Diceros bicornis minor: one gene and its partners. The protein of the gene in region 1 purifies or fractionates together with the protein of each later gene. This does not show direct contact. Links are inferred from orthologs where the notes say so. Each region holds a gene or a part of one and is shown in the gene's direction. Other genes may lie near its edges.

The links.
Region 2: the proteins of SEC13 (region 1) and NUP43 purify together in Homo sapiens (affinity purification with mass spectrometry; 3 studies listed by BioGRID and IntAct, counting the BioPlex papers as one, with this or other methods). This does not show direct contact. The link is inferred for Diceros bicornis minor from reciprocal best matches to the Homo sapiens genes SEC13 and NUP43.
Region 3: the proteins of SEC13 (region 1) and NUP160 purify together in Homo sapiens (affinity purification with mass spectrometry; 4 studies listed by BioGRID and IntAct, counting the BioPlex papers as one, with this or other methods). This does not show direct contact. The link is inferred for Diceros bicornis minor from reciprocal best matches to the Homo sapiens genes SEC13 and NUP160.
Region 4: the proteins of SEC13 (region 1) and NUP37 purify together in Homo sapiens (affinity purification with mass spectrometry; 5 studies listed by BioGRID and IntAct, counting the BioPlex papers as one, with this or other methods). This does not show direct contact. The link is inferred for Diceros bicornis minor from reciprocal best matches to the Homo sapiens genes SEC13 and NUP37.

Annotation. Positions count from the first base shown.
Region 1 is NC_080741.1:86,341,606-86,349,523, forward strand, and holds the start of SEC13 (protein SEC13 homolog), read left to right. Parts: upstream 1-4,901; 5' UTR 4,902-4,978; coding exon 4,979-4,981; intron 4,982-7,362; coding exon 7,363-7,407; intron 7,408-7,918. UniProt on the Homo sapiens protein: Functions as a component of the nuclear pore complex (NPC) and the COPII coat. At the endoplasmic reticulum, SEC13 is involved in the biogenesis of COPII-coated vesicles.
Region 2 is NC_080778.1:28,162,111-28,169,133, reverse strand, and holds the start of NUP43 (nucleoporin Nup43), read left to right. Parts: upstream 1-4,014; 5' UTR 4,015-4,041; coding exon 4,042-4,161; intron 4,162-4,590; coding exon 4,591-4,713; intron 4,714-5,543; coding exon 5,544-5,621; intron 5,622-6,829; coding exon 6,830-7,010; intron 7,011-7,023. Other genes in the region: PCMT1 (protein-L-isoaspartate(D-aspartate) O-methyltransferase), read right to left, coding at 1,814-2,042. UniProt on the Homo sapiens protein: Component of the Nup107-160 subcomplex of the nuclear pore complex (NPC). The Nup107-160 subcomplex is required for the assembly of a functional NPC.
Region 3 is NC_080770.1:22,679,942-22,687,338, forward strand, and holds the start of NUP160 (nuclear pore complex protein Nup160), read left to right. Parts: upstream 1-4,384; 5' UTR 4,385-4,399; coding exon 4,400-4,499; intron 4,500-4,762; coding exon 4,763-4,874; intron 4,875-7,397. UniProt on the Homo sapiens protein: Functions as a component of the nuclear pore complex (NPC). Involved in poly(A)+ RNA transport.
Region 4 is NC_080764.1:21,258,915-21,266,464, forward strand, and holds the start of NUP37 (nucleoporin Nup37), read left to right. Parts: upstream 1-4,533; 5' UTR 4,534-4,613; coding exon 4,614-4,769; intron 4,770-7,550. UniProt on the Homo sapiens protein: Component of the Nup107-160 subcomplex of the nuclear pore complex (NPC). The Nup107-160 subcomplex is required for the assembly of a functional NPC.

The DNA of each region.
Region 1 (7,918 bases):
CCTCAGATACGCAGATTGGATTCCAGTACGACCACCGCCAAAAGCCAGCCCACAGCTCTCCTGCCGAGAAAGGAAAGACCTGCACCCGTAAAACATGGGGCAGCCTTGGAACGTGGTGTTTTTTGTCGTTTCCTTTGTCAAGGTTTTCCACCCGCTTCTTTGTTCCAATCTTGTGTCCATGACCTTATTCCATGACACCAGGGAAGCTGCGCTTGCACACCATGCTCCCTGTTCCTTTGGAGCCAGCGCGCGAGGAAGACAGGAGGGGCTTCTCTGAGTGGAGCCTAGCTTGAGGAGCAGGGAGCGACGGCGCTACCAAGAGTGCCCGACATTGCTGTTGGTTTTCTCTGGTCAGGAATGATGGCTGTTCACCCACGCACCCTCACTCTCACACTTGCACACACATCCACACACACAGGAAATGATTGGTTTGTCAAAACTCACTGTAGTACATAAAGCTTGCACTCTGCGTCCTATATCTAGCAGCATGGGGTACGTTTGGCAGTTCACCCCATTAGGGGGTAAATAATTTATGACCATTCATCTGTTTTTATGAATTTTTTTATCTAGACAATAATTGTAAATAAAGAACTCACCGTCTCTGTTCATTTACTACTATGCAACGGTTATGCTTTCAATTGCTGACTCTTCTTACTCCAGCAGTGTGGTTCTGAAATGTCTGTGGTGTAAAAAAAAAAAAAAAAAAAAAAAAAGGGCAAAAACCAACATCAAACAGAACATAGTAAATATATACTCTGTAATGTATACTTTTTCTGTTTGGGACTGGACCACCCTCTTAGCTTCTTTTCTGTCTTCTGGACAGGGGCTCCAGGAGAAGGCAGCAGATTCATTTCTGAGGTCTAAGCTCACCAACTTGTCTCCCTCCAACAGATGAGGGACGAGCAGGGGCCCATTCAGTGACCTCTGGGGCTGTAGAGTCACCTGCCTTTAAGGTGGGCAGGGAGGAAACTCAGGCGTTTCCTTCCTGCGACTCAAGCAGTGCTCTCCCTAACCCAGAAGCAGCCTCGATTGCTCCCACCAACCCCTCACCATGGCCCCTTGCCCCCTTGTCCCAACCAAAGCATAGAGCTGACAAGAGGGAGGGTGCCCTGCCTCTGACACCAGACTCATGACAATGACTGCACTGGGGCAGGGACTCTGGACCTGTCTTATCCTGGGTATCCCAGTTACTGAAGAGCCACACTTTTCCCCAGCCATCCTGAAATGCCCCCTTTACCGCAGACTGACAGCTTAGATAAATGTGGGTCTGTTTCTGGAATTTCTCTTCTGTTCCCCTATCTGTGTGTCTCATCTGGCACCAGCCACATGGTTTTAATTACTGTCGCTTTATATAATGTTTTAATATGTGCTGGGACAAGTCCCCTTCACTCTTTTTTGTTTTTTACAAAAATTTACAAAATTCCCTGGTTATTCTCTCACATCTACTCTTCCAAGTAAACTTTAAAATTTTGCCAAGTCCTCCACCTCTCCCCTCCTCCCACCCCAAATACTGGGCCCTGTCATTCTATGTGCAAACATCCCGCCACTGGAAGTACTGTCCACTCAGGCTCGTTAAATAAAGTGTCCTGTGAGGAGAGACAAAAAGGGCGCCCTGAATCTTGAGGGAAGCCCAATGTTCCTCCCATCATCTCACCTGTCCCCTAAGCCAGGGTGTCATCAGAGAGGCCACCGAGCCACCACCCAATCTCAGTTTGAGACCCAAAGTCACCCCCTTTGGTTGTGCTGGGCTAGCCCCTCCATCTGCCCTGGTCCAGATGAGAAAGAGGGGTGTCCCCCAGACCCAGAACTACCAGAATGCGGGGCCCAGTTGCCTCTATTTCTAATTCTCCTCATGGAGAAACATTTATTCCTGTCTCCCTTTCCTGAACTGCTTTTCTTTGGGGGAGGGTCAACTCTTGCTCTTCGTTCGGAGTTTTCAGTAGTTGGGTGACAGGCCCTTTGGGGTGCAGCTGTTTCTTGCCTGGCCTTTCTCACCACCCGGACTCCCCTCCCCGTTCTCGCTCTACTTACAGGAGGCTGTCACCCGGGTGCACTGTGACGTGCCTCGCACCCCAAACTCTCTCCACAGTCTCTGAGATCCCACCATTGGAAGAGCAGGGCAGGGTTGCATTTCTAGAAGGCTTTTGGGTCTTCCAGAGCCAAGGCCTAAACCAGACAACAGCAGAAAATCCCCAAGTCTTCTCCAAGTTCCAAAGCAAGCTCTCCTGACGTTGACGTAGAGATCCCACCCACCCGAGTGGGGGCCGGGGGGGTCCCAGGCCCTGGGCATCAGCCATCACCCCCTCCACCAAAAGCAAGAGATTTGAGGCCGCTTTCGGACCGCCCTTCTCAGCCCCGAGTCTGTTTTGTAATGCCTGTGGTGCTCTCCCTCCGGACCTTTCCTCTCTGGGGTCACCACACTTTGCTAACTCTTGTGTACACATATTTTATAACAGAGTAGCGAGGAAATGGTGCCACCTCCAGCTTCCACAAGCTGCCTGGGCTCTGGGGGGCTCTGGGGGGCTCTGGGACAATCGGGGCTGGGAAATGACTGTGCTCTTATTGTACACTCTTTATTTCTCTGTATCTCTGGCTTGTGCTCTTTGTAATTAATGGGATTTGTCTGCCTTTTCAACACTATACTGAGCAATAACAATAAATGCACACATGGAAATGCAGACACGGTACACATCACAAGGCCTTTTTCCGTAGGCTAGCTGGGTCCCTACCCTCCGTGGATTTGAACTTAGGGGGAAACTGAATCCCTGGGAGGGAAAGGCACTTTGCCCAAGGGTGCACAGCGCAGTGGGAAGTCTCTTTCCTTCCACCTAGTCACACCTTTCAAACATCCACCGTTCAAGGGAGACAAGTTTAACCTGCCATGAGTCATTAACCTTTCACAAGGAATGGCTGACAGTCCCAGAGAGCAAGACTTTGGGGGAAGGGGCCTCAGGAGGAGGAGGAGATTCAGGGGCAGAGGGTCTGGGAGGTAGGGGCACAAATTGGAGAAAACTAAGAATGGGCTGATTTGGGGTCTGGGATTAACCAGAGGGAGGTGATGGGAGATATGGACATGGGATGTAGGTGGCATCCCCTACTAGGGAAGGGGAAGGCAGAGGGGAGCCTGGCACCCTAAGAGTCTGAACTTTGCAAACCTCTGCTGAACATCAGCGGAGAATGAGAATGTGCCCAGATCAAGAGATGGTCCCAGTGTTGGTACAAAGGGTGAGGGTTGCACATGCACACCACACACACACACACACACACACACACACACACACAAATCCCAGCTCTTTTCAGAGAGAACTGATCCCCAGATCAAGCACCACAGGCCCATCCAACTTCCAAACACCGTTTCACATCCAAGGGTCCCTTTAATCCCAAGATCCACCTTCAGAGGAGGTATTATAACTCCCACTTGACAGAAGAGGAGACAGCAGCTCAGAGAGGTGGAAGGTGTGCCCACCTAGTAAGTAGGAGAGTCAGTACTGATACTTAGCAGTCTTGATCCCAGTATCAGCACTCAAAACCTCCATGTTATAATGCTTTTCAGTCCCACCAGCAAAGACCCTAATGAATAAGATACAGTTGCATTCCTTGTCCCAAATCCCCAGTCTCTCCAACTTCAATGCCAACACCAAGGAATTCCTTTAATAACCACTATGCCCCATGCATTATATTTGTATTATATCTAATATGCCATTGTCCCCATGTCCACTTGAGGAAGGCGAGGCTCAGAGAGAAGTGATTTGACCTTATCACCCAGAGAATCACTGGTGCAGCCACAGAGCCAAGGCCAGGGCCTGTCCCTTGAAACACAGGGGGCCCAAGAGCCCCGCCCCTTTGTTGGCTGCTCCGCCCTAACGGCACGCCTTCACACCCCTCCAATATTTCTCCATTAGAGGGAAGTGAGGAGTCTTGAAAGCTGGGGTGGGGGTGGAAGGGTGGGTTGCTGCCCAGAGGCCCAGCCCTGAGTTCTGTGAGACGCCACTCGCTGGGCCCCCGCTCCAAAGCTCCTTGATGGTCTGGGTGTGTCCCACTCTCTGAGCCTTAACATCTTCCCTCAAGCAGCACCCTCTCCAGCTAGGGTTCTCACCTCCAGTTTCAAAAGAGGAAATGGAGGGACTGCGACGTACCCAAGCAGAGTCTAGTCTCCACCCTAGTCACCGGACTCCTTACTGCCATGAGCGGCCGAGGGCTGCCAGATCTGTGTGGCTGAGGGAGCCCCCGGCCCTGTCCAGCAGTGCAGCGTTCTCACTGTGCTTGTGGGAAGCGGGGATTGGGGTCAGGAGCCCCGGGGCTTGGGTCCCGGCTCTAGCTGCAGGAGCCTGGCTGAGATCCCTCCTTGCCTGGGGGCTCTACCTGTGAGCCAGACTCAGGGGATCCCAGCTCTCCGAGGAAGGGGCAGTTTGGAGCATGGGTCCCCCGGCTTGGAGAGGGCTCAGCCTCTGGTAGGGGGCATTTCCTGGACTTCTCTGCCCCTGGTCCCAGCCTTGGGTCCTGAGGAGGGACTAACAACAAGGAAGCACGAGGACCGGTCTCCCGACTCCCCCCAGAACTAATCAACCTACAATGGTCATCACAAGGCCGGCCGCACCCAGAACCGCAGACAGGCGGGTGACGCTGTGGGTGTGAATCCTTTCTTTCGTATACGGATCTCAGGAAAAGGGAAGGGTTGATCCAGAGCAAGACAGCCTAGATCTTCATATTCCAAAAGCCCCTGGTCAGGGTCGCCGGGGGAACGAGAACCCCACCCCGCGAGTCTCGCGCGTTCTGCAAGCAGAAGGGGCGGGGCCGCGGGGGGAGAGGTGGGGGCGGCCTTTGGAAAGCGCGGAACCTTGGTGTGAGCTGGCGCGTTGCTGCCCGGAGGCTCCTGCGCCGGGGCCCCACGGCCTGCCGGCCCGGCGACGGAAGTGAGGCTTTCGGAGGCGCCGCCGGGAGCTGCCACGTCCGAGGCCGGAGCCGGCACACTGCAGACATGGTGAGCGTGGGGGCCGGGGCGCCGAGCGGGTCGCGGCCTCCCGGGATCCTTGCCGCGCCGAGGTCTGGGGGCTCCGGCCCTGCCCCGCCGGGCGGCTGGGGTGCAGAGGGGCGGCCCCGGGCCCCGCCGGAGTTGTGCGGCCGCGCCGCGCGCCCCTGCCTGTCCTCTCCTCCCCCCCCGGCGGTTGGAAAGAGCCCCCGACCCGCGGGGCTCCTGCGCCCGAGCCCGGGGGCAGCCCGGCGTGGTTGGCAGTCAGCCCGCCGGCGGCCCTCGAGCGGGCGCCGTCGCCGTCCCCGCCGACCGGCGCGGAGCCGCGGGGCCAGAGGCCAGGCCTGCGGCGCGCCGAGGGCCCGAGCCGGGATTCGCCCCGAGCAGTCCCGGTGCCGCCGCCGCTCTCGGCAGCCGCTGTGGCGGGCGCCCGGCGCTGTGCGGGGGGCTGCGCGGCCCTGCGGCGGGGCCGTGTCTGCGCCCTCCGCGCGGCTCCGGGAGTGCAGGGACGGCCGCCTGAGCCCGGCGCGGGGGTCGGGAAGGCAGGCGTGCCTGCGCCCCGAGGGAGCCCGGGGGAGCCGGGAGTCCAGACGCTGGCTGCAGCTCCTGCCCTGCAGGCGCGGGTGCGAATCGTGCATCTGCTTTAGCCTCTGGTTCCTCAGCTGCTGAGAAGAGTTGGGGTCTTGTGCTCTGACAGTTAGCTCGTTCTAAATGGACTTTTAACTCGTTAACTGATTCTGAAGAGCTGAATTGTGAGGGCTGCTTCTTAATACTTAACAAGGACCAGACGACTTGAGGTGCTTGGGAGGAAGGACTTTTTAATAAAGGGTTTTGTTTTGTTTTCTTAAAAAGCACTTGTTGAGAAGCGGGGTTCACCAATCCTGTCTGGGGTGTGAGAGTAGTTGAAAGTAAGTGCTGGTTATCTCTGAGGTCCTTTGGTTAGCTGGTATGAAACTACCAGTGAATTTTCTTCCTGACTCTCCTTAGCCCTCAGCCAGTGATTTAGGGCATTGGATGTAACAACTACTTTATGTTCTAGATGAGCAGACTAGTGGAGTGGAAAGCTCGGTGGGCTGGGAGTTAGCAGGTGGGGCTCTTCCCAGCTCCACCTTTATCTAGCTCTGGGACTTTGGCAAGTGCTTTCTCTTCTCTGGGCTTCTTCAGTTCTTTAGTCTGTCAGGCAGCTCTGATTAACTCTGCTCTTCATCGTTCCCACTGCACATGTGATGGCACTTTGTAATCTAGACAGCTTGGCACACGTAAGAGACTCTTCTCTTTTATCCTCCTTACCTGCCTTTGCAGACCGAGGGGGCCCACTTTTTAGGGAGTCTAGACTTCGGTGAGAGAACTTGTGCTTACTTGATGTGTACCTTTTGGACTGCTTGGCAGCCATCCTCTTCCAGTGTTCACCTTTCTGAAAAGTCAAGTCAGACTTTATACCTGCAGGTCTTGTGCTGGAAAAGGATGAAATGGGGAAATGGTAAGAAATATCAGTTCCAAACTGAAACCTTTTCAATCCCGGGAGTTTGAAGAGAACAGTGGTTGAGTAAAGTAAAACTGTCTGTTTTTGTTCGTTTGCTTATTCATTCCTTCTGGTTGCAAAGCATTGTGCTGGGTGATTTGAGAGGATTCAAAACTATGGCCAACGCAGACCTTGGCTTGAGGGAGCTCACCTAGTTGGGAGAAGAAACAGCGTCAAGTGTTGTAGACATTCAGTGCTGAAGATATTCAGAGGAGTCCTGCCACTTGGGGGATCTGGGAATCTTCAAAAAGGGGGGCATCATTTGAGCGGGATCAGTAGGTGACAGTCTGAGATCTGTCACAGGGGGTGGGCCAGGAAGCAGCCTCAGGAGAAACTTGAATCAGTTCTCCAGGTCTTAGGTATTAACCGTGTTATGCAAAAAACTGCCTGGAACATGTGAGCCTCTGTCATCCTGGAAGGGAACACCAGCCACAGCTCCCTCAGGGACCCTCTTCACCCCCAAAGGTAGCGAGGACTGCTTGCTATGCCCCCTCTTGGTTCCTGTTATCCCCTTCTGCTTGGACTGTGTTTTTTCCCAGTGCCACCTGGCACTTGCTCCTCATCTAAGCCCCAGTTGGTGTCTACCACTAGTGGCCCATTAGGCTGCTACAGCACTCGTAACCACCGTCAGAGCATTTATCTTGCCATGTTCAGGTTACTTATGTGCAAGCTTCGCAGGGGCAAGAAGTACCTCTTATTTGTGTCTATATCTCCAACCCCTTGGCAAAAAGAAGGTACTTAGAGTGAATGTTTACTGAATGAATGAATGAACAAATGAAGTCAAGAGCTTTAGAAATGATCTGTGGATTTAATGACATGATTGTATTCTAACTGCCATCAGTTCATTTACCAATGATAACTTTGGTTCTAGGTGTCAGTAATTAACACTGTGGACACCTCCCACGAGGACATGATTGTAAGTATTCCCTTAGCGCTCCCTCCCACACTGTGGACATGGGCATTTCTGTGGGAGGGAAACATTTCTGTTGATCATTCATGAATCCAGTGTAGCTTTGCAGCCTTTACCAGTTAGGCTGTAGCCTCAGGGGTGTGGTCAGCCTCCCAGCAGCACCCTGTGGGTTGGCAGGGCTGTGGCAGTCTGGTCGCTCTCTGGTGGGAGGAACGTAGGATTAGTTTATAGCTCAAAGCCCTCAGTCTTCTGGCCAACAAAGTAACCTGCTCTGGGATAGAAGCTGAGTGGGTATAGGTTTGACAATAGTCTTCCCACCTGTCTTCTTCCTGAGGCCACTTCTTAGCCCCATTGGAAAGGGGGTTAAAAGAACAGAGAGGAGGAAGATGACTCAGTACAAATGCAGAGGCCAGGCACAGCGAGAGCCCAAGGCAGAGCCAGGTAGGACCACCACAGACACCCTTTGACCCAGAAGACATTAACTGAGGGCATTTCCGAGAGGCAAACACAAGGCTCA
Region 2 (7,023 bases), on another chromosome or scaffold:
AAATTTTATGCCAACTGAAATTTTCACATGAGCAAATGTTACTTTTATAATAAACTAATAAATAAAAATAAAGTCTATTAGCTAGAATTAATTCAGCAAGAAGTTGAAATTAAAGTTGCACAAGTGTTACAAAACAGGCTAAACAATTTGAGTACTCTAATTTCCTCTTACCAATCACAGACCTAGTATAAAACTAAATATTTGCAATACCAGCATGTATATTAAATATTTATTAAATTTTCAGATAGAAAAATATCCTTAGAAATTTCAGCTAAGAATGGTAATGCAATATATTAAAGTGATTATAAAACCACTGGGAAAAGATCTAGTCTTGGCTTACTACAAATTTGGCCCAAAAAAAAAGATTTTAAGAGCCTGATTGATTACAAATTCCTGCCACAGCCAAGTGGCTACTGCGATAACCTACTGGTGGAAAATTACTTAGTCACAATTCTTGTATAGAAGGTTTCCAGTAAGCACACCACAATATAAGGCAGCAGATCATTTTAAGAAATTTTATTAAAATATTTACAACATAATGAGCTTACATGCAATCCATAGGAATCTACATCACACTTCATAATACTGCCTCAGCATATAAATGTCCACTCCCAATCAAATATCCTTTCATAAAGTGAACACTGGCAATGCTCGACAGGATTCTGAAATCTAAATATTCTTCATTACTAAACAGTAAGGACACAATTTCCAAATTTTAAATATTGTAAAAAAAAAAAAGTCAAATGACTAATGTTAAGTATTAACCGTGTGCCAGACAGTACTATTTGTCGCTCATCTTACTATTCCTAGCACAGATCCAAGCATATAGTGTACATTTAATTGGCACAAATGAAAAAAGAAATGAGTATTAAGTTCTTTGATAGGATTCAAAGATATTTACAAAAAAAAAGTCCCTGCCCTCAAGGAGGTCACAAATCGAATTAGGAAACATAAACACATGAAAAGCTAAATAACATATGACACATAGCAGGATATGATTATTCGCAAGTTGTGGCAAAGAGAGTGCTATCAGCTCTGACCGGAGTGAGAGTGGTACGGATTGCGGTTCTTCTGGTCTCCCGACCAGTGGGCGACACTGTATTGCAACGTAAAAAAATAAAGTGACACAGCATTCACCCCACCCCGAAATGATCAGCAGAGGAAGGAATACAATAACCAACGAGAACGGTACAGGAAGACCTGCCGGCAAGGCTTGTAAAGCCCACGGGGCCTGGAAGAAGGCAGAGCATCCACATGCACGACTGCTGATTGGATCTCAGGATGAAACAAGCCTCCTAGGAACAGCATCTCCTGACCACTGCCCCCTCCGACCCCCACGAAGCCTGCCAGTGGACAGCGCCCCAGAACTTTCTCCAGCATCCGCAGTGACAATCCTCTCCCCTCCCTCCCCGCGCCGGTACCTCACCCGGAAGAAAGAACGGGGGGCGGGGGAGGAGGACAGGAGAGAGGGCGCTCCCGCAGCAGAAGGAAGGCGAGGAGGAGCGGGGGCCGGCCCGCATCCCCCACCCCGGGGCACGCCCCCGCCCGCCGGACCCGACGAGAGGCGGTGGACTCGAGTGACAGCCCGCCACCTGTGCCGGCCCCCCTTCCCGCGGCGCCACGCCGCCCCCCGCCCCTCTGGCAGCGGCCCCGGCCCCTGTCTGTCCCCTCCCGAGGAGAGAGAGTGACAGGTCCCGGGGGAGGCGGCCGCACGCGCACGCCGCCCGGGACGGTTGGTGCAACGCTCCGCCGCGGCCCTCCAGTAGGCAGCGCGGCGCAGACAGAACGTTCCGGACGGCGGGGTGGCACTTACTGCGGAGGTTGTGGATCAGCTCCGAGTGGCTGGCGCCGCCGGACTTCCAGGCCATCGCTAAGCACACCCGGAGCAGGAACAGAACGACCTTCAGCGCGGCGACGGTGCCCAGCAGCTTCCCCAAGAGTGAAAACACCTCCCACACAGTCACCGCCCTGCTCGCGTCCCCGATGTCGCCGCCGCTGTGACTGCCGTCGCCCCCGCCGCCGCCACTGCGCGCTCCCGGCATCCCCCGCGGCACGCATGCGCTCTGTGACGCCCCACCGGGGCGCGGCCGGGTGGGGGGGGGCGCGGCCACGTGCCCCGCCGCCCGCGCTGGTGGCCGCTGCGGCAGCCCGGCCGGGCTGAGTCAGCCCCCCGCCGCCGCGCGCCGTCTCCTTGCCGGGTGGCCTGCGGCCAGGCGGGTGGGCACCGGCGCGGCCGGGCGCGTGCCCGGCTGCGGCTCTGGTCACCTGGGGCGGTGGCGGGGCAGCTGGGCCGATCTGGTTCTGCCGCTGCGGAGGCTCCGCAGTCGCGCGGGGTCAGCTGCTGCGAGCGGCGGGTCTGCTCCTATAGCCGTCCAGATTGTTAGACGGTGGGTTTCCTCCGTCCTACCTCACCCAACCCAGTTGACTAATGCATAGGTCGGTTACCGTCTGAGCCTGATTAATCTTGGTAGAACCTTTTCTAACCCGGGTACTCTAGCCTCTGGCTTTGTGACAAGTCCATCAGTGTGTGGTCAGCAGAGACCTTGGGACCTTGGTTTGTTCTCAACTCTCAAGCACAAATTCAGAGTGGAAGAATACCATGACATATGGAGTAGGGTGGAGCGTGGGGGATGCTCTGCTCCTTAGCACAATGCAATTGGTTAAAAATACCACAGTATCCTATGGCGAATGTGTTATTCTCCCGACACGAGTGTGCCTTTTCAGCTAATTAAGCCTTCCGCTGTTAGACTGGACACCAGCTTTATTGCTATCAGCTGTGCAAGACAATGATCGAGAAGCTGACAGGGAACATTGCCTGTCGCATTGGTTGGATTAGGGCACTCCACTCCCTCTGGGTCCCTAGCAGTCTTCTCCAGGCTGAGAGCCTCGGGGGTCTGCTGCCTCCCAGGGTTCCTGGGCTGGCCCTACAGGGCGCACAGTCATCAAGAACTGCTTGGGGGAAGTGAGCTGTTTAGATATTGCTCTGGTGAGTAGAAAGTGGGCACTTGCCCCATTAATGCTTCCTGGCTGGTGGCTTCCATAGCACCCCCATCTCTGCAAATACACTTTACTTTGTAAAAGAACTTCCACTGGTGTAGAGTCTTATTTGACTCACCAGGAGGCGAGCCCACTTGGTTCAGTAACAATACGTCTTGAATGCAATAGGATTTACATTCTAATTGGGGAGATCTGCACCCAAAGAAAACTAGCAATAGAGGGCAAAATATAAGTGCTATTAGTGGTCTAGATATCAAGTGCTATGTTAATTTAGATCGCATGGGCTGGAGTAATAAGGAAAAGATACAGGGCAGAACTGGTCCTTGAAGGATGAGCAAGATTCTGAGAAGGAGAGAGGAATAAAAGGACATTATAGGTGTAATCAAAAGCAGAGAAGAGGGAACCTACAGCACCGGTTCCTGGGCTGTCGACGTTACATATCAAACTCATTCTTAATTATATTCATAAATGAATTGAGGAAGGTTACACAGCTAAGCAATGGGTGTCAAAACTCGAACTGGAGTCTTCAGAATTCCAACTCCAGGCTCTGACAGTGTATTAACAAGGATTTGTTTGGGGGATAAAGAGGGAGAGGTTTAGAACAATAAACTGGTCCGTTAATGGACGTACTTCCTTGACAATGTAAGGACTTTGAATCTCTTTTATGCGCAGTGAAATGCAAGACTGAATGCTTGGGTGTGGCTCTGAGGCGGCTTCTCTTGCATTGATTTCGTTTTGTTTTGGCTCTTCGGTTTGTTTTACAGTGCACGATTATCGCACAAATGCACTGTCTCAGTGTCACTACACTGAGCGTGCACATTAAGAGCAGGTCCTGTAGCACGAGGCCCGTACACTCTTGCTTCTGTTCGGGGTCGCCTCGGTGAGCAGGGGCTGGTGGCGCCCGCAGCGCCGACGGAGGAGGATTGGCTCTCCGCGGCCACCGTCCGCTCGTCGAGTGCGGGCCAATCAGGGCCGCGCGGGAAGGGGCGGGACCGAGAGGCGCGCGGCGCGCTCCTCGCTGTACCTGAGGCGGTCGCTGTCGCCATGGAGGAGATTTATGCCAAGTTTGTGTCTCAGAAAATCAGCAAAACCCGCTGGCGGCCGGTGCCTCCGGGGAGCCTGCAGACCGCAGAGACCTTCGCTACGGGCTCTTGGGACAACGAGGTACCGCCGCCTCATCCCGGTCTCCCGGACCGCGCCTGGCCCCAGCCTCCCTCGCCCTTCTCTGCCCCCGGCCTCCGTCTCGGTTGCCCTGCCTCTCGAGCCATCGACGGTGCGCCTGGGCCTCGCATCTCGTTGTGATTTAAACTGTCACCATGCCTTTTGTCTGAGATGCTTTTTTTTTATTTTTTTAAATTGATGTCATAATAGTTGATACCACTGTGCGATTCCACTTGTACATTATTATTGGTCAGTCACCACATATATGCGCCCCTTCACCCCTTGTGCCCACCTCCCAACCCCCTTCCCCCTGGTAACCACCAGACTGTTCTGAGATGCTTTTAAAGCAAGGTTATTTGAAGGCATTGCGAATTTTAATTTCCGAGAGGTTAAAGTAGATTTCATCTCAGGATAAATCTGTCTATTTTACAGGAAAATCGTGTTTCCCTGTGGTCTATTGGCGATTTTGGGAACTCGGACTCTGATGGAGGGTTTGAAGGAGACCATCAGTTACTGTGTGACATCAAACACCATGGTGACGTGATGGACTTACAGGTAAGTCTGTGGAACGTACGAAAGCTAACTTAAAGAGCGGAGAGTAATACATTGAGAGACGCAAAGGACCGTAAAGTTTGTCTAGACTCGCCCCGGTTTACAGGAGACTGAGTTCTCTATAGGTTATGATTTGCCAAAATCATGACTGGGGAAGGAGATGTAGATTTAAGCATAGTTTTTTAATCCTTTTTTTAATTAACTGACCTTCTGCTATGTGCCAAGCACTGTTCTGGGAGCTTTACATAAGTTAGTTTAATTCTCATCACATGCTTGTGAATCAGGTATTATGTCTTTTACCAGTGAGAAAACAGACTAAGACCTTTTGGGCATGTACTATGTGACAAATACTGTGCAAGGCACTTGACAGGTTTTGCTTTTTGAGTTCTCATAACAACCCCCTAAGTAAGGATTAGTTCTTTCCTCTTAAAGGTTTGCCAGGACTTAGAGAACTTAACTTGGCGACAGTCTCAAAGTCAGTAGTAAGTGGTGGCAATGGAATTAAGTTTTTAAATCCTGGTCTGCATGACTTCAAAGTCCTGGCAGTCCTGATTCTGTAGAAAGCTCCCTAACCCTGGAATGATACTTTTCTAAACCTTTACGGTAGTGGTCCAAAATTAAATCAATTATAGGTGAATGAGTTTAGGGAAAAAATTATTGTTATTTATTCTTCATGAAAATACTTTTATTTGTATAGCAGTTTTGACTTTCAGATCTATCATCAGATTTTATTTGCTTAGCATTTATAGCTCTTCACATCTTAAAATTGTTATACTACTGAGTTAAACTACTAATATTTCTGAATCTATAACGAGCAGGAATTTTCTGTTTAGTTTTTTGACCAGGAAAGGATTGTAGCTGCTTCATCAACAGGATGTGTAACAGTTTTCCTTCACCATCCAAATAACCAGGTAAAGAACTTTTTTTGAAAACTGAATTTGTATTTTAATTATTTATAGGAAGGCTTAAAGAAGACTGTACTTAATGACACAAATAAAAAGTTTTATAGCCTGAAAACATGGAGAGGAAAAATATCACCATTATATTACCTATCTTTTAGTAGATTAATTCTAGAACCATGTTTGTGTGAGCTTTTATTGAAATTCGACATCTCTTAAATAAATTCTGTTAGTTTAGAACTAACAATATGGTATTCTGGCAAGTGATTTTCCAGTAATTCTCTGTTTTAAGTTTCTATTCTAATCTTTTGAAGAAAAAAAGAGCACATTCTAGCTAAGGTATCATGAGAGAGAACAAGAACAGCTACTTTACTTCTGTGGATAGAACCCAGGTTTTAATTAGAAGAGAGGATACACTCTATGAAGACTTGGCACTTTTTCAATGCCTTTCGTGTATGCTGAAGCCCACAAGTGGTCACTTTCAAAGAGTAGCAGTGAGGGCAAATCTTTACAATAGCCCCACTTGTAGTAATAGTTTTCAGTTGCTAGAAGAGAGTGCTTATTTAGATTTTTGGATTAATAAAGGTCACCTTGTGGATAGGCATATGTAGTAAATATAAGACCCAGATCTTGTTAAATATTTTTCTGAATCGAGTCATTTAGAAAGCACTACAGGGAGTTATTTTTTACATGTAGGCTAATTCTCTTAAGAATTTAGAGTTACTTTTGAACACATGACTACCTGGTACCTAAAACCCATTTCTTTACTTTGCTATATTGGGCCAGCCCCGTGGCTTAGCGGTTAAGTGCACGTGCTCCACTGCTGGTGGCCCGGGTTCGGATCCCGGGCGTACACCGAAGCACCGCTTCTCCGGCCATGCTGAGGCCATGTCCCACATACAGCAACTAGAAGGATGTGCAGCTATGACATACAACTATCTACTGGAGCTTTGGGGGAAAAATAAATAAATAAAATTATAGTTTGCTATAAATGTGGGACATTATTGAGCAGCATTCATTTTGAATCTAATCCAGTGTATACAGAGCTTTGTAGAGTAGTTCTAGACTTTATTACTCGGAAATACAAACAAAAAAGGAGAGAGTTATTCTTTTTCTCGAAGGGTATGAGACAGAATTTAAAAATACTCTTGAGTTGGGGAAAAGTGCTAGGTGTTTAGAGCTTTGCTTTGGTTAATCATCTGCTCGTTTCTGATGCCCAGACTCTGTCAGTCAGCCAGCAGTGGACGGCCGCTCACTACCACACGAGCCCAGGCAGCCCCTCCTGTTGCAGTGCACCCTGCACGGGTATCGTGTGCAGCAACCCAGAAATTGTCACAGTTGGAGAAGATGGTCGGATAAATCTTTTCAGGGCTGATCACAAGGAGGCTGTGAGAACTATAGGTGAGAAAAACCA
Region 3 (7,397 bases), on another chromosome or scaffold:
TCCCCATGGCCACTGACCGAGTGTCCCACAAATTTAACTCAATTCTCACACTATCTACCTGGAGATTGCATCAGATTCCACAGACTAATGGCTCAGTCCCAAAAGACTGCCCCCACTTCAGATGCCAATTGCAAGTCTAGGTTGTCACCTGTGCTTCTGACCCACTGGCTACAAATCGGAGGTTCCCACAACCCTCTCCTTGGGTTCAATTAATTTGCTAGAGGGGCTCACAGAACTCAGGAGACCAATTTACTTACTAGATTACCAGTTTATTATAAAGAATATCAAAGGAGGGGCCGGCCTGGTGGTGCAAGCAGTCAAATGCACACGCTCTGCTGCAGAAGTCTGAGGGCTCGCTGGTTCGGATCCTGGGCGCACACCCACGCACTGCTCATCAAGCCATGCTGTGGTGGCGTCCCATATAAAGTAGAGGAAGATGGGCGTGGACGTTAGCCCAGGGCCAGTCTTCCTCAGCAAAAAGAGGAGGATTTGCAGATGTTAGCTCAGGGCCGATCTTCGTCACACACACACACACAAAAGAATATCAAAGGAATCGAATGAACAGACAAATGAAGAGATACACAGAGTGGGGTCTTGAATGCAGGAGCTTCTGTCCCTGTGGAGTTTAGGGCCTGGCACACCGATGCATCCTAGTTCACCAACCTGGAAGCTCTCTGAACTTCCCCCCTCTGGGCTTTTATGGAGGCTTCATTGCATAGGTATGATTGATTAAATCATTGGCCATTGGTGACTTAATTCAATCTCCAGCCCCTCTTCCCTCCCTTAAAGTTCCAGCCCTCTAATCACGTGGTTGGTTCCCCTGGCAACCAGCCACCTCCTTAGGTTACCTAGGGACTTTCCAAAAGTTACCTCATTAACGTAACAAAAGACATCTTTAGCTCTCTCATGTTTAGGGAATTCCAAGGGTTTTAGGAGCTCTGCGCCAGGAACAGGGATAAAGACCAAATATAATATTCTCATTATAAATCACAATATCACCGAGGTGATTAGGTGATAAAGGCGGAGCCCTCATGAATAGTATTAGTGTCCTAATAAGAGACCCCAGAGAGCTCCCTTGCCCTTTCCACAATTTGAGGACACAGCAAGAAGGTGGCTGGCTATAACCCAGGAAGCAGGCCCTCACTGAATCTGCTGGTGCCTTGATCTTGGACTTCCTAGCCTCCAAAACCGTGAGAAGGAAATGTTAGTTGTTGAAGCCACTCAGCCTTTAGTATTTTGTTACAGCATTCCAAGAAGAAACACAACAATATAAGCGATGAATAGGAACTGTTATCTCACAGTGTATTTGTAAAACGAAGAGGCAGGCAGAGCAAGAACAGATTAAGATCAATAGGGAGTTGTTTCAATGATCTGAGAAGGAAATGTGGAAGACTGTAGGAGGAAAATGAAACAGGCAAACAGCCATTGATGATTAAACAGCTAGTAACTATGGGGGATTGGAATTTGCCAACTCAAAATATGTCTCTGCCCGAATGACATTTGACCCCCACCCCCACTAACTGAGCAAAGGAGTTTGGGATGGGAGGCCTGCCCACAGAAAAGGCCATTACTATAGACATCTCTGGGTACCTGGGTGGGTCGTGATAAACCCATCCTTAGTTCTAGTAACCCTTTATGAGAGACATTTACATTGGTAAAGAAAGTCTCCATTTGTAAAGGTATCTTCTTCCCTGCACCAGGAAGAAGGGGGGATGGCCTTACCTAGAAACTTATCAGAATGGAAGGAGAGGACTTAAATCTGCATGATAAACTTATTCATTGTTAACTGTGCTGTTTGGGCAATATGCTATCTGACTCCCACTAGGTTCCTATAGATGACATCTCCCTGGAGCCTGGATTACCATGGTAATGGGTGTTTGAGCTATTTTTTTTCAGGAACTGAGCCCTTTGTCCACTTCAGGCCAGACTGAGACCACCAACCCATCAACTGGGCCCTTTTGATGGCAAGAGGTTGGAACTCCACCCTCAGGGCATGTTAATGCCGCCATTCTGTGACCATGTGTCCTACGAAGAAACATGAAGCCTGACTACACTTGCGCAGATCATCAATGACCTCATCTCTCCTCACCTCCAATCATTTCAGACCACATTGCCCCCTACCCCATAAATACCCCTGAGCCCCTATTTTTGGGGAAGCGGATTTGAGACTTGTTCTCCCGTTTTTCTCACTTGGCTGCCTTGTGATTAAATCCTCTCTCTCTGCAATCTCGTTGTCTCGGTGATTGGCTTTCTGGGTGGCTGGCAAAAATGGACCTGGTGCAGTAACAAAAAGTTCCTGATATCTATTGCTGCCTAACAAACTACCCAAAAACTTAGTGACTTAAAATACCGACCATAGGGGGCTGGTCCCATGGCCGAGTGGTTAAAGCTGCCTGTGCTCTGCTTCCAAGGCCTGGGTTCACGCGTTCAGATCTCGGGCGCGGACCTACACACCACTCATCAAGCCAAGCTGTAGCAGGCATCCCACATATAAAGTAGAGGAAGATGGGCACAGATGTTAGCCCAGGGCCAATCTTCCTCAGCAAAAAGAGGAGGATGGGCAACACATGTCAGCTCAGGGCTAATCCTCCTCACACACAAAAAAAAGATGCTGGGAAGGAGGGAGGGGTGGTGGTAGAGGAAATTCTCTTTGGATTGCATTAATTTTCTAACTGAAGAAGCAGGCTGAGTGAAGATGAGGAAGTGTCACCGGCTCTGGGCCTCCAGAAACTCAAAGGTGGGTTTGGAAGCAATTAACTGTTTTTCCAAGTTGTTTCTTTTCCTTTTGTGTGTTAAGGAGACGTAACCAGCAGCCATCCTGAAACTGACCAAGCCTTATTTTTAATGCAAAGATCTCTCCAGGAGGAGCTTAGGCCTCATTATGTGGAAGCATGTTCTCCAACTGAGCCTGTGCAAGCGAATACCCAGCTCCCCCTTTTGAATATTCATTCCCCAACCAAATAAAAGTTCCTGTCTTCCTTGGTTCGGAGAAGCCATGACTTTGGAAATGATTCCTTATGGCCTCCTACTTGCTGCAAATCACGCTTTACTTTGGGAGACAACTTCCACTGGTGCAGTCTTATTTAACTCACCAGGAGGCGAGCCCACTTGGTTCCGTCTCAGAGGGAGGTGTTGGATGAGTTGCGAAATACTCATCTAGGAAGGTATACAGACAAGGCAAACACAATGCTACAATGTCTGCTGGGCAGCAGTATGAGCCCCCCCAAGGTTTAGAATCATGATGGAGGCAGAGGGAGTGTGTCAGTGTAGCTGTATATGTCTCTCCAGGCCTGTTCAGCTGCCAATTTGGAGTTAATCAAAGTCGTGTTTTTTTACTGGAGAATGCAGATAGACAGCTAGGCAAGAGACTAAATTTAAATGGAATATAAGCAGAGCAAGAAGGAAACATCAAGGAAGTGAGGGACAGTGAAAAGGTGGTAGAAACAATGGATTGGAATGGAGGGATTCCCTTGCTAGAGGTGGTGTCCTAGAAAGAGTGAGGTGGAAAGATATGGGAGAGTGGTCAGAATAGGTTGAATGAAACACAGAATGATAAGGAAGGATTTCGGTCATTGGTAATGAATAAGAAGTAATAACAGACGTGCTTAACAAACGTTGACCATCAAGGGGGAAAAAAAAACCTTTCCCCCTGAAAATTAGCATTTTCCTCAATATTGAGCTTTACTCTGCTCTAGACATGGGTAAAGCTGCAGTATCTTCCAAACATCCAGATCACAGGTGGAACAAAGGCAAATTCCTTTCAGGTATGCAAAGGAACAGCATTTAGGGAATCTCAACAGGTTGCGGCATCCATGTTTAATTGCACACATCACGTTTTATTATACGAGCATATAGAATTCATTATACAAGAATTCCAACACGGAAGGCCCCTCTCCTCTTCATTCCCCCCCATCCCACGTGTCGCTGAAGGGTGAAGAAAAGGAGAGATTCGCAGGCCGACACCACGACGCAGGGAGAGGTGACCGCAAGCTCGGAATCCGGCAGGGGGCGCCCATGTGCCCGGCCTCGCCGGCCCTCGCCCCTCCCGGGAGGCTCAGCCCCCCGCCCGCGCGGCGTTTTCAAACTGGAAACAAGCCCGGCCCCGCCCCCTGCCTGAGGCGGCCGGGAAGAGGGCACCGCCCCCCGGAGGCGTCCCACCCGGCCACGCGAAGGTCCCCGGAGGGAGGGCCGGCTCCCCGCCCCTTTCTCAGCTGGCTTCCTCGCTGCCCACCCTCATACCCCCGCCAACTCCATTGAAGCCTCCAAACGACGGGTCGACCCCGCCCCTCTGCTCCCCCGGCCTCGCCACCTGTGCGCGTCTCCCCGCCCCGCCCCCGGAAGTGACGACAGCCGCCCGGCCTGCCAGTGTCCCGTCGGGCCTCGCGGCGGCGGCGGGAAGATGGCGGCGGCGGGAGCCATAGAACGGAGCTTCGTGGAGCTCAGCGGAGCTGAGCGCGAAAGGCCGAGGCACTTTCGAGAATTCACAGTCTGCGGCGTTGGTACGGAAGCAGCCAAGGAGGGCGCGATCCTGTCCTTTCCCTCGGGTTCCCCTCATGGGTCCCCAAATCTCTGACCCCCTAGTTCATCTTCCTGAATCCACATGCCTGTAGCTCCGGGTGCAGAGCTCCCTTAGTGTCTTCCTTGTTTTCTTCCCTTTCTTTTTGTAGGAATTGTCAATCTGTTACCCTCTGCTTTCTCAGCGCCATCAGTCCCTGTCATCCCCCGAGAACCACGTGTGTGGCTGACCACTCTCCTTTTGCAGGGACTGCAAATGCCTTGGCCGGAGCAGTCAAATACAGTGAGAGTGCGGGAGGCTTCTACTATGTGGAAAGTGGCAAGTTGTTCTCCGTCACCAGAAACAGGTTCATCCATTGGTAAGTACTGTGTTCGCCAAACCCCTAGGGTGGTTCGGCGTTTGAATTTCCGTGGCTGTTCCCCAAGTGTCATTCTCCGAAACGGTAATCGATAGGAAAAGAGAAAAACTGTTTTCTATTCATATCTGAATCAGGAGAAAATTAAGGAGACACACAATTCTAGGAGAGATACCCTCCCAGGCAGCAGTAGAAGCAGAGGAAATGTAGCTTAGAGGATAAAGCCTCAAAGACCAGTTTTGTACATGGACCCATTATGTTTTTATAGTGCGTTATGGCTTTCTTCACTCTACAAATATGTTTGAGCTTTTATACATCAGGCATTGCTAGGTGTACTAGGGATGAAGTGATGAACAAAAACAACCACCATTTTCATCGTGCAAGATGTTGTAGCAGTGTAATGATAGATGTGGACCCACCCTTTATGGGGCAGTATTTTTTTTTGTTATAATTTTACTTATTTATTTTATTTTTCCCCCCAAAGCCCCAGTAGATAGTTGTATGTCATAGCTGCACATCCCTCTAGTTGCTGTATGTGGGACATGGCCTCAGCATGGCCGGAGAAGGGGTGCGTCGGTGCGCGCCCGGAATCCGAACCTGGGCCGCCAGCAGCGGAGTGCACGCGCTTAACCGCTAAGCCTTGGGGCCAGCCCTGTGGGGCAGTTTTAAAAAGAAAAAGACTGATGATCACAATATAGGTACACAAATACAAACTTTTCATGCTTACTTCAAAGGAAAAGTATAGGGACTATGAGAGGCTAATAGGAGGACTAAATTTTATTGGTAGGGCTGGGAAAGCCTTTAAGAAAGTCACATTTAACCTGAGATCTGAAGGATGGAAGGGTAGCCAGGCAGGCGGTTGGGAGAGAGAGCAGTTCAGCAAGTGGGATCACCATATGCAAAGTCGGTGAGGTAGAAAGAGCTTGGCAGGTTTGAGGAATTGACTGAAGGTCTGTGTGGCTTGAGTGCAGTGGGTGAAAGGGAAAGTGATGTGAAAGATGCTGAGACTGGGGAGGTAGGCAGGACTCAGATCATGAAGGACCCTCAGGTCCTTTTTAAGGATTTTGGATTTTATCCTAAGTACATTGAGCACTCATTGAAGGGTTTTAAAGGGTTACTAACATGATCAACGTTGTATTTTTTAAAAAATCAGTCTGCTTTGTGGAAAGTGGATTTGGGTTGAATGGGTATAATACAAAAGAACAGTTTGCTTTTATGATGGCCCAAGTAAGAGACGCTGGTGACCCAATTGTAAGAGTGGTTAGGAAAAGAAAAATAGATGAATTTAAGATGCGTTTAGAAAGTAGATTCACTAGGACTTGGTGATAGATTGAATATGGGGTGGGGGATGGTAAGGGAAAAGGAGGGAGCAAGGGCAACTCCCTGGTGTCTCATGTGGCCAGTCAGATATTGGGTGGAGCAGTTGCCATTTACTGAGATGCAGAAGACGAGTTTAGAGAGATGTGAATAATGCTTTTAGATGTACTACATTTGAAGTATCTATGTAGCAGCCCTTTGGCAATGTCAAGTAGGTGTTGAAATTTGCAGGACTGAAGCTCAGAAGAAAGGCCTGTGTTAGAGATACAGATCTCATTTATTTAAGAAATATTTTTGAGTGCCTAATGAATTCTAGTTAATGTTTAGGGACTGGTATAGGGGAGGGACAAAGCTGACAAAGTCCCTGCTTTCATGGAGGGAGACGCACTAAACAATAACCAAAGAAACCATGTAAATATAGTTTGTCAGATGATAAGTGGAATAGAGAACGGGGAAGCAAGATAAGAGGGGAGGGGAACACCTATGGGTGTTAATATTTTATATAGGTTAGTCGGGCAATACCCAGGGATAAGTTGACATTTGAGCAGAGGAAGTAAAGATATTTGGGGGACAAGAATTTCAGGTAGAAACTTTCAAGAAAAAGGAACCAACAGTGCAAAGAACTCTGAGACAGCAACTTGTTTGTTGTGTTCAAAGAATGGCAAGGGGCCAGGAGTCTGCAGCTGAGTGAAGAAAGGATAGGATAATAAGAAAGGTAACCCAGGGCCAGATCAAGGCTTTGTCAGTTATTTTAGGCTTTGACTTTTACTCTGAGTGAGATAGGAAGGTTTTAATTGGAGAAATGACATGATCTAAGTTGTGGGGTATTTTTGTTTTGTTTTTTGTTTTTTTGCTGAGGAAGATTTGCTCTGAGCTAAGATCTGTTGCCGAAGATTAGCCCTGATCTAACACCTGTGCCAGTCTTCCTCTATTTTTTATGTGGGACGCCGCCACAGCAGGGCTGGTGAGTGGAGTAGGTCCATGCCCAGGATCCAAACCCGGCCACCGAAGTGGAGCGTGTGGAACTTTAACAACTCAGCTACAAGGCTGGGCCCTCTAAGTTATGTTTTTAACGGATTGGTGTGGCTGTGGGTTGAGAACAGAGTGTAGTGGGAAAAGAGTGGGAGCAGGGAGACTGATTAGGAGGTTGGTGCCACAGTCCAGGCAAGAGAAGATGGCAGCTTAGACCAGCATGGTGTCGGTAGAGGC
Region 4 (7,550 bases), on another chromosome or scaffold:
TCTCCCCCTCTGCTGATTTTGCTTAGTATCTTTTTGCTGTTATAAATTATAGCCCTGAGCACGACTATCTGCTGAGTCCTCTGAGTTCTCTTAACAAATCATCCAACCTGGGGGTGGTCTTGGGGGCCTCCTGACATAAGGCCTTGTAGCTTTGGTTCCTTCTCTCTTGGTACTCTCAGACTGCCATATGAAGAAGTCCAAGCTAGCCTGCTGGAGAGGCCGTATGGACGAGAACCAAGGCGCACCAGCTGACAACCAATACCAACTTACAGACATGTGAGTGAGGCTATCTTAGACTTTCTGGCCCCAATCAACCTGCCAGATGAACTGCACACACATGAGTCATCCCAGGCAAGATCAGCAAAACCACCTACCTGAGTCCAGCCCAAACTGCTGATCTATAGAATCCTAAGCAAATAAAATAGCTGTTTTTAAGCCACCAAGTTTCGGGGTGGTTTGTTACACAACAGTAGATAACTAACACAATAGCTAATATTTAGGAGCTTTCTTGGTGCCAGATACTTTTCAAAAGCTTAATATTTATTCCTTCATTCAATCTTCACAAGAGCCCTATGCGGAAGTCTATTATTATCCTCATTTTACATCTGAAGGTGATGCCCCACGTCACTCAGCTAGCAAATGGCCAAATAGACCTAAACCCGAGATGCCTAACTCCGCAAGCTGTGCTCTTAAATCACTATATTGCATAACTTCTCCTGACGGACAAAAGCTTTTCAAAATAATTGGATGTAGTTGCAATGTTTTACATACCCAAGCCTATATCAGGTAGCCAATTCCTTTCTCTGAGTTTACAGACATGCCTGCTAAAAGTTTTTTGTTCCTACTTTCTTTTAAGTACCCTAGTCTCCAACATATTCACATGCCATTATCTTATTTTGAGTATTTTACTGTACACATCCTATTTACTTACTCCTTGTGCTATCTTTTTCTTCTTTTTTTATGTGGCATAAACAGAATCCCAGATGTTTACTAGGAATCTTGGGTTTATATGATCAAGAAAATGGGCATATGGCTAGCCAGCCCTGATGGCCTAGTGATTACAGTTCGGCATGCTCCACTTCGGGGGCCGTGGCCCAGTTCCCAGGCGTGAAACCACACCACTCATCTTCAGTAGTCAGGCTGTGGGAGTGGCTCACATAGAAGAACTAGAAGGACCTAAAACTAGAATATACAGCTATGTACTGGGGCTTTGGGGAGGAAAAAAAAAAAAAGAAGACTGGCAACAGACGTTAGCTCAGGGCAAATCTTTCCCAGCAAAAAAAAAAAAAAGAAAGAAAAGAAAATGGGCATATGCCATTTACAAGATAATAATTTATAGACATAATCAGTGATGCAATTTAAAGACAGGTAGAAGACTATAAATTAAAATATCTACATAAATACAAACCCTAGTAAATAGCTAAGAGTTAGATTTCCCTTATCACCCTCATCTCTTACAAGAAAAGAAAGTGAAGAAGTAAAACTCCAGTGATACGATCAGTTTGCCTGAAATAAATCTTTAGTAGTAAGTTATTTACTGGTACTATTTAAAAGCACTATGAGTTCAGGTTGCTAACAATGAAGACTAGCTGGAATTAGACTGTTCTGAATCCTGGCTCCATGACTTACTAGCTGTAAGATCTTAGCCAAGTTATGTCACCTCTCCTGCCTCGGCTTCCTTGTACTGAAAATGAAAATGATAGTTCCTATCTCATGGGGGTTTGAGAAAAGTAAATGACATAAATACAAGTTAAGTTTTTAGAGCAGTGCCTGGCATATATAAAAGCCAACAGTCTCATCCAGGGGTCAGCATACTTTTTGAAAAGAGCCAAATAGTAAATATTTGAGGCGTGCAGGCCGCAAGATCTCTGTCACAACTACTCAACTCGACCTTGCAGTGTGAAAACAGCCACAGACAATACATAAACAAATGAGCGTAGCTGTGCTTCAACAAAACTTTATGGAAACTGAAATTTGAATTTCATGTAATTTTCACGTCATAAAATATTATTCTTCTTTTGGTTTTTTTTTCCAACCATTCAAACATAGAAAATCCATTCTTAGCTCAGGAATTGGCTGCACAAAAAGAGGCAGTGCCACTGGTTTGCCAATCCTGGTCTAGTCTCAGCTTTTCCAGTAGCTAGCTGGCTGTGTGAGCCTACGCAATAAGCTTTACACCTGACTGCCTAGGTGGAGGTATCAACACAAAGAAAACAAGAATAACACCTTCCAGCCAGTTATGAGAAGTCAATGAGACAGTGAATATGCAAGCACTTTGAACGTCAGGCTGCACTATACAAAAACAGCAGTAGAAGGCAGCAGTGATAATCAACACTTGTTTTAAAAAACTGGATTCCAAGCTGCACTGGAGCAAAAATTGTGAGACAGAAAATTGTCACTGGGGAGGCAATGTGAGATGGTTAAAAGAATTACACTTGCGAGTCAGACAGACCAGAGTCCATATCCAGACTCCCCTATTTATTAGCTGTATGTCCTTTAGTATTTAAAATCTCTGATGAACATACATTTCTTCATTTGTGAAATGGACACGATAACGCCTAACTCATACAACTAGGAGATGTTAGTGAGACAAGTAAAAAATCCACATAGTGCCGGGCACTTAGCAGGTGCTCAATAAAAAATGGCAGTCGTTGCCGCTATCATTGGCGGAATGCAGGTCCTAAAAGATCCTTGGGAGGATATACTAGGGAGACGGGGAAAGTGGCGGAATTGGAGTCTGCGCACGCTTGGGACTAGAACCCTGGTTTCCTAAGTAGATCTCTATGGGCCTCAGTCTTCCAGTCGGCAGATGATCCCTCAGGACCTTCCAGCTCCATCCATCACTAGATACCGTGACTCTGTTCAACATCCCCAGACCCAACCAGGCTCCAGCGCGAAGCCACTGCACAAATAATACCCTAGACGGTCACACGGCACTTTACTGTCACCGAAAAATCCTCCCAAGCCGCGGCTTAAATCACCACTTGAATTGTGACAGGCGGACGAGAAAGAGTCAAGACTCACCTGGCTCGAGGGAGACCTGTGACACACAGACTCTACTGAAGAAAACTCCTGCCCGGCTGCAGTGCAGCGGCTGTCCGAGTTGTCGCGGGTTACATTTTAAATCTCGCGGGAGGGCCCAGGAGCCAATCGCCGCTCCCGCCCTCTGACCCGGAAGCAGAGCCAGCGCGGGCCGGCGTAGCCCCCAGCAGAGATCAGCTGCGTACTGGCTGCTTCTCGGCGTCCTACGGTGCGTATTGCTCTGGAGCCCAAGGGGCCGTGCCGCTTTGTTACCGGCCGCCTCGCTCTCTCACCCTGTCCCTGGGAGTTCCTCCTCTCCCCGGGCCGTTCCCCACCCCTCTTCGCTCCGATCTCGTGCTCGGAGAGGGGTAGCGAGGTCTCGCGGGACTTGCTTAGCACTGGGAGAGGCGTAGGGACTCTAGGCATGGACTTCTGTTTCCTCCCTTTTCTGCCCTTACAGTTTTAGAGGGGGCAAGTCCAGCCCGCTGTGTACAGTGAGAGCCTGAGAATGCGGTGAGACTGGGCACTGCTTTAATCAGAGCACTCGGGCACCGAGTTTGCTGACCTCGAATCTTTTGCACTCCCCACACCACTGTGCCTCCGCGGGCGTCTCACCTGCTGGTCACGCTTAACAAATGTCCAGTCCCGGATGCCCACTCGTGAGGTTACTAGGTGATAAGCTCCCTGAGGTGGGATTCATCCCATCTGATTCTCAGTAAATGCTCATCAGGTACCTGATGTGGTTGTTACCAAGCCCAGCTGTTTTCAGGACAGCTCTTGCGTCCAATTAAAAAAAAAAAAAAAAAGACCTCTTTATAATCCGTAAGTCTTATCTGGGAATGCTGCTGCTTCCGGAGTGCGCACCAGGCCATGACAGATTAAAGTGTTGTGCCTGGTTTTGTGAATATTATTTTTGTATCACACATTTTGGCACTCCTTCCTCCAGGTGCTATATTTTGTATCCGCTTATCTATAGCACTTTGCATGCTGAATCATAACTATCCCTGGATTGTGATCTCCTTCAAGGTAGGGGGCTGTGTTTTTCTTCTCCAGTACTGGTCCAACACATAGTAAAGTATTTTCAAATTCTGGCTCATCCTATGAGTTTGGCAGGCTGGTTAACCTCCTAAAGTCTCAATTTCTCCATCTGTAAAATGGGAACCAAAGGTAGTACCTCCCTCTTAGCTTTATGCGAATATTAGGTGTGATAATGTCAGTAAAATTTAACATGATACCTGCAAATAGTGCTGTGTGAATGTTAACTGTCATTAATTTTTTATGAATATATTTACTATTAAAGTGATTCCATCTTCAAGGACTCACTGTTATTTGTTAGATAATCTAAACAGAATTTCATGGTGATTTACTCTGCAGGTATCATTCACAAAGTATTTAAATAAATACTTTCAATTTTTTTGAGTTGTCTGTGGCATTTGCAATGCCAGGTCCTTACTTTGATTCATTTGCTGAAAGTGACTAACACTTGGACGGTTTCTATCTAACTGTGTCTGTATTGTAATCCACAGTTTTCATGACCTTGTCCAGTAGCAGGCTATTTAATTTGTACAACTGCTGAAGTCTTGACATACAAGATGAAGCAAGATGCCACAAGAAATGCTGCCTACACCGTGGATTGTGAAGATTATGTGCATGTGGTAGAATTTAATCCCTTTGAGAGTGGAAATTCAGGAAACCTAATTGCCTACGGTGGCAGTAATTACGTGGTCGTTGGCACGTGTACATTTCAGGTTAGTGTACAAAACTGCAGTGAATGACTAAAGATATTTCACTGATAATAAAACTTATACAAACTTTGGCAAACTTTGGCCAGAATTTGAAAGTGTATTGAGTTTGAATGTAAAAAAAAAAAAAAGATATGAAGGACTACAGAGAAAGATATTCCTAGTAATACATGCCTAAGATTTGTGCAAACGTTGAGTAGATAGTGAAAAAGAAGAATATAAGGCTTCTCTTTTGCCTTATGATTAGAAATGGAACATTCTGGTAATTGAAGGTTACAATTAACTGAACATTGGTATATACAGGGAAAACACCAACTAGAAAGATCTAATTAATTGCTTAATCCAATTTTTCTACATTCCACTTTGACTTAGGAAATAAGCTAATGTTGAGAGCCTAACAAATGATCCTGCAGGAGATTTTATAGCTGGCATGACATTCAGCTTTGCTGTTAATATGCTCTCATACTTTTTATACTTCTAAAGCACACATCTAGTGTATACAAAGTATACTTTGTTTACATATTATTTTTTTATTGGTTCCTATTGAACAGACAGTTTAGTATGGTCATTAAGACAATGAACTCTGGAGCCAAAATGCCTAGATTTCTACCGTTGCCCGGCCTTTACCTCTTAATAGCTATATGACCTTGAGCAGGTACTTAACCTCTCTTCTATAAAAAGGAGGAAAATAATACTTAATCGGTTTTGTGAGACTGTAATGAGTTAGTACATGTAATGTTCCTGGAAGCCATCTGGTGCATATAATACATGTATATGTTTTAGCGGTCACTGATTTGGTCAGTGGTGACGCTGAGGTACAACCCCATGTTTAATCACCAAAGAAAGATTGCTTTGTGGTGAGCACACACCGTGTTTTCTCACAGGAAAGCTAATTCTACGTGTTGGAGAGACTTTGAACAATGAGAGTTCAACCCCAGGAATCTTTATCCTTTGTGTACCGGAATATTATTCATAGAACAGTATTTCTTAAAGTTAATCAATGAGGTAATTTGGCAGTCACCAGTTTTCAAAGATTTAAAATAACTATCGCCAAAGTGACATTATTATAAACAGTATTTCCTCTTTTACTCAAAAAGCAGTTCAGTATCTTTTAGCATTTTGACATCATAAATGCAATTTTGCATTTTACAGTGCAATAAATATATAAAGTTATACAGCATTAGACTGCATGCATATTTATCCTAAGGGGAAAGTATGAATTAAAGGCTTCAGTTTCTTGGTGTCTGGGTAGAATACAAGAGCGTTTACGTTATCCCACCTTGTCTGTTAGGGTTGAGGGAGGAATTTCTAGCTTTTACGCTAAATATGACCCTCAGCCTGACTTCAGCTGGACTACCAGGTTAGGATCATGAAAAGTCACATGATTAAGTGAAATAATATAACACACTCTTGAAAAAGACTGAAGGGAAACCGTATTTCTAATGCAGGCTACTAACCTACAAAAAAATAAAGCAACCCCCTACAGGTGAAACTAACGTTTTACTTCATTACTTTTAATATTAACAGCTGTGAACATAGAATTATATTCAAAAATACTGAAAAAATACGCTTTATCTCTAATTTATGTTCAGCTAAGAAATGAGGGAGAAAGTCAAGAAGGGAGAAAAAAATTCGGAAAAAAGAAAGGCAGAAGTACTGGGTGGCAGAGAGAAAAAATGAGAGCAAAAGAGGGCAAATGACAAAATGAGAAAAAACAACTAGCGAAAACGTTTGTATTGTTCCAGTATGGTTTGTAGTCATATGGGTTGTCCCCGTTGATCCTCAGACCTGTGAGATTGGCAATGTAAATCTTATCCTCAAATTACCTAAGGAAAGAATTGGATTTTTATTAATTTCACAAGTAGTGAACACAAATTGTATTCTGTGCCAATCCCTGTCCTCATGGAGTTTCCATTCTACTTCAGAGATGTTCAGGGATTTGTATGACTAGTAATTGAAAAAACAACATCTAGACTCTTTGAAACCCTGTTCTTTTCCTTCTATACTGCTATTCAGATAGGTTGAAAACATAGTTCAAACAGTTCTGGAGGAGAAATATGTTCCAATAATTTGCCCCTGGGGATTCAGAATACATTATTGCTTCCCTTTGAAGTTATTTTTTATCTAATTAAACACTATTAAATATTGTTCCTGTTCTCATGCTAGAACCTTGAAGTTCCATAGCACTTGGAGAGAAAACTAAGTAAAAGTCAGTTGTATTGAAAGATTTTCACATTCCTGTATGAAAGACAATCCTCATTCTGAGTCTATTAGGAAAACACTTTTGATGTAGTGAATTTGAATATCAACAAAGCATTTTTCAGAATCTCATGGTGTTCTTTTAAATATGATAGAAATTTGAGCTGAGTGATGGTACTGTTGATTGGTGTCGTGTATTTGTAAAATATTCATTAAGTGCAGATCAGGTGCTGGGAACTAGTAATGCATACGTTAAAAAAGCAAAGACCCTGCCATCAAGGAGGTGTTTAAATGTAAAGCAACACAATAAGAAAACTGTTATAAACATCCTATGTGTAGAGGGCAGAGGAAGCATGAAGGTTTCCAAGTCTGAAAAGTCATCAGTAATGAATTGAGGCCTCTACTGGGACTTGGATGAGAACAGTTGATTTAGGCGAGCACATTCAATTTATATAGAACATGAAACAGAAAGATACCTGATGTTTTGGATAACAGACTTCATTTAACAAATATTTATTGAGCACCTTTTGGGTGTCAAACTCTGCTCAGAATCCAAATATTGTTTAATAGATTGGATGAATGGGCCAA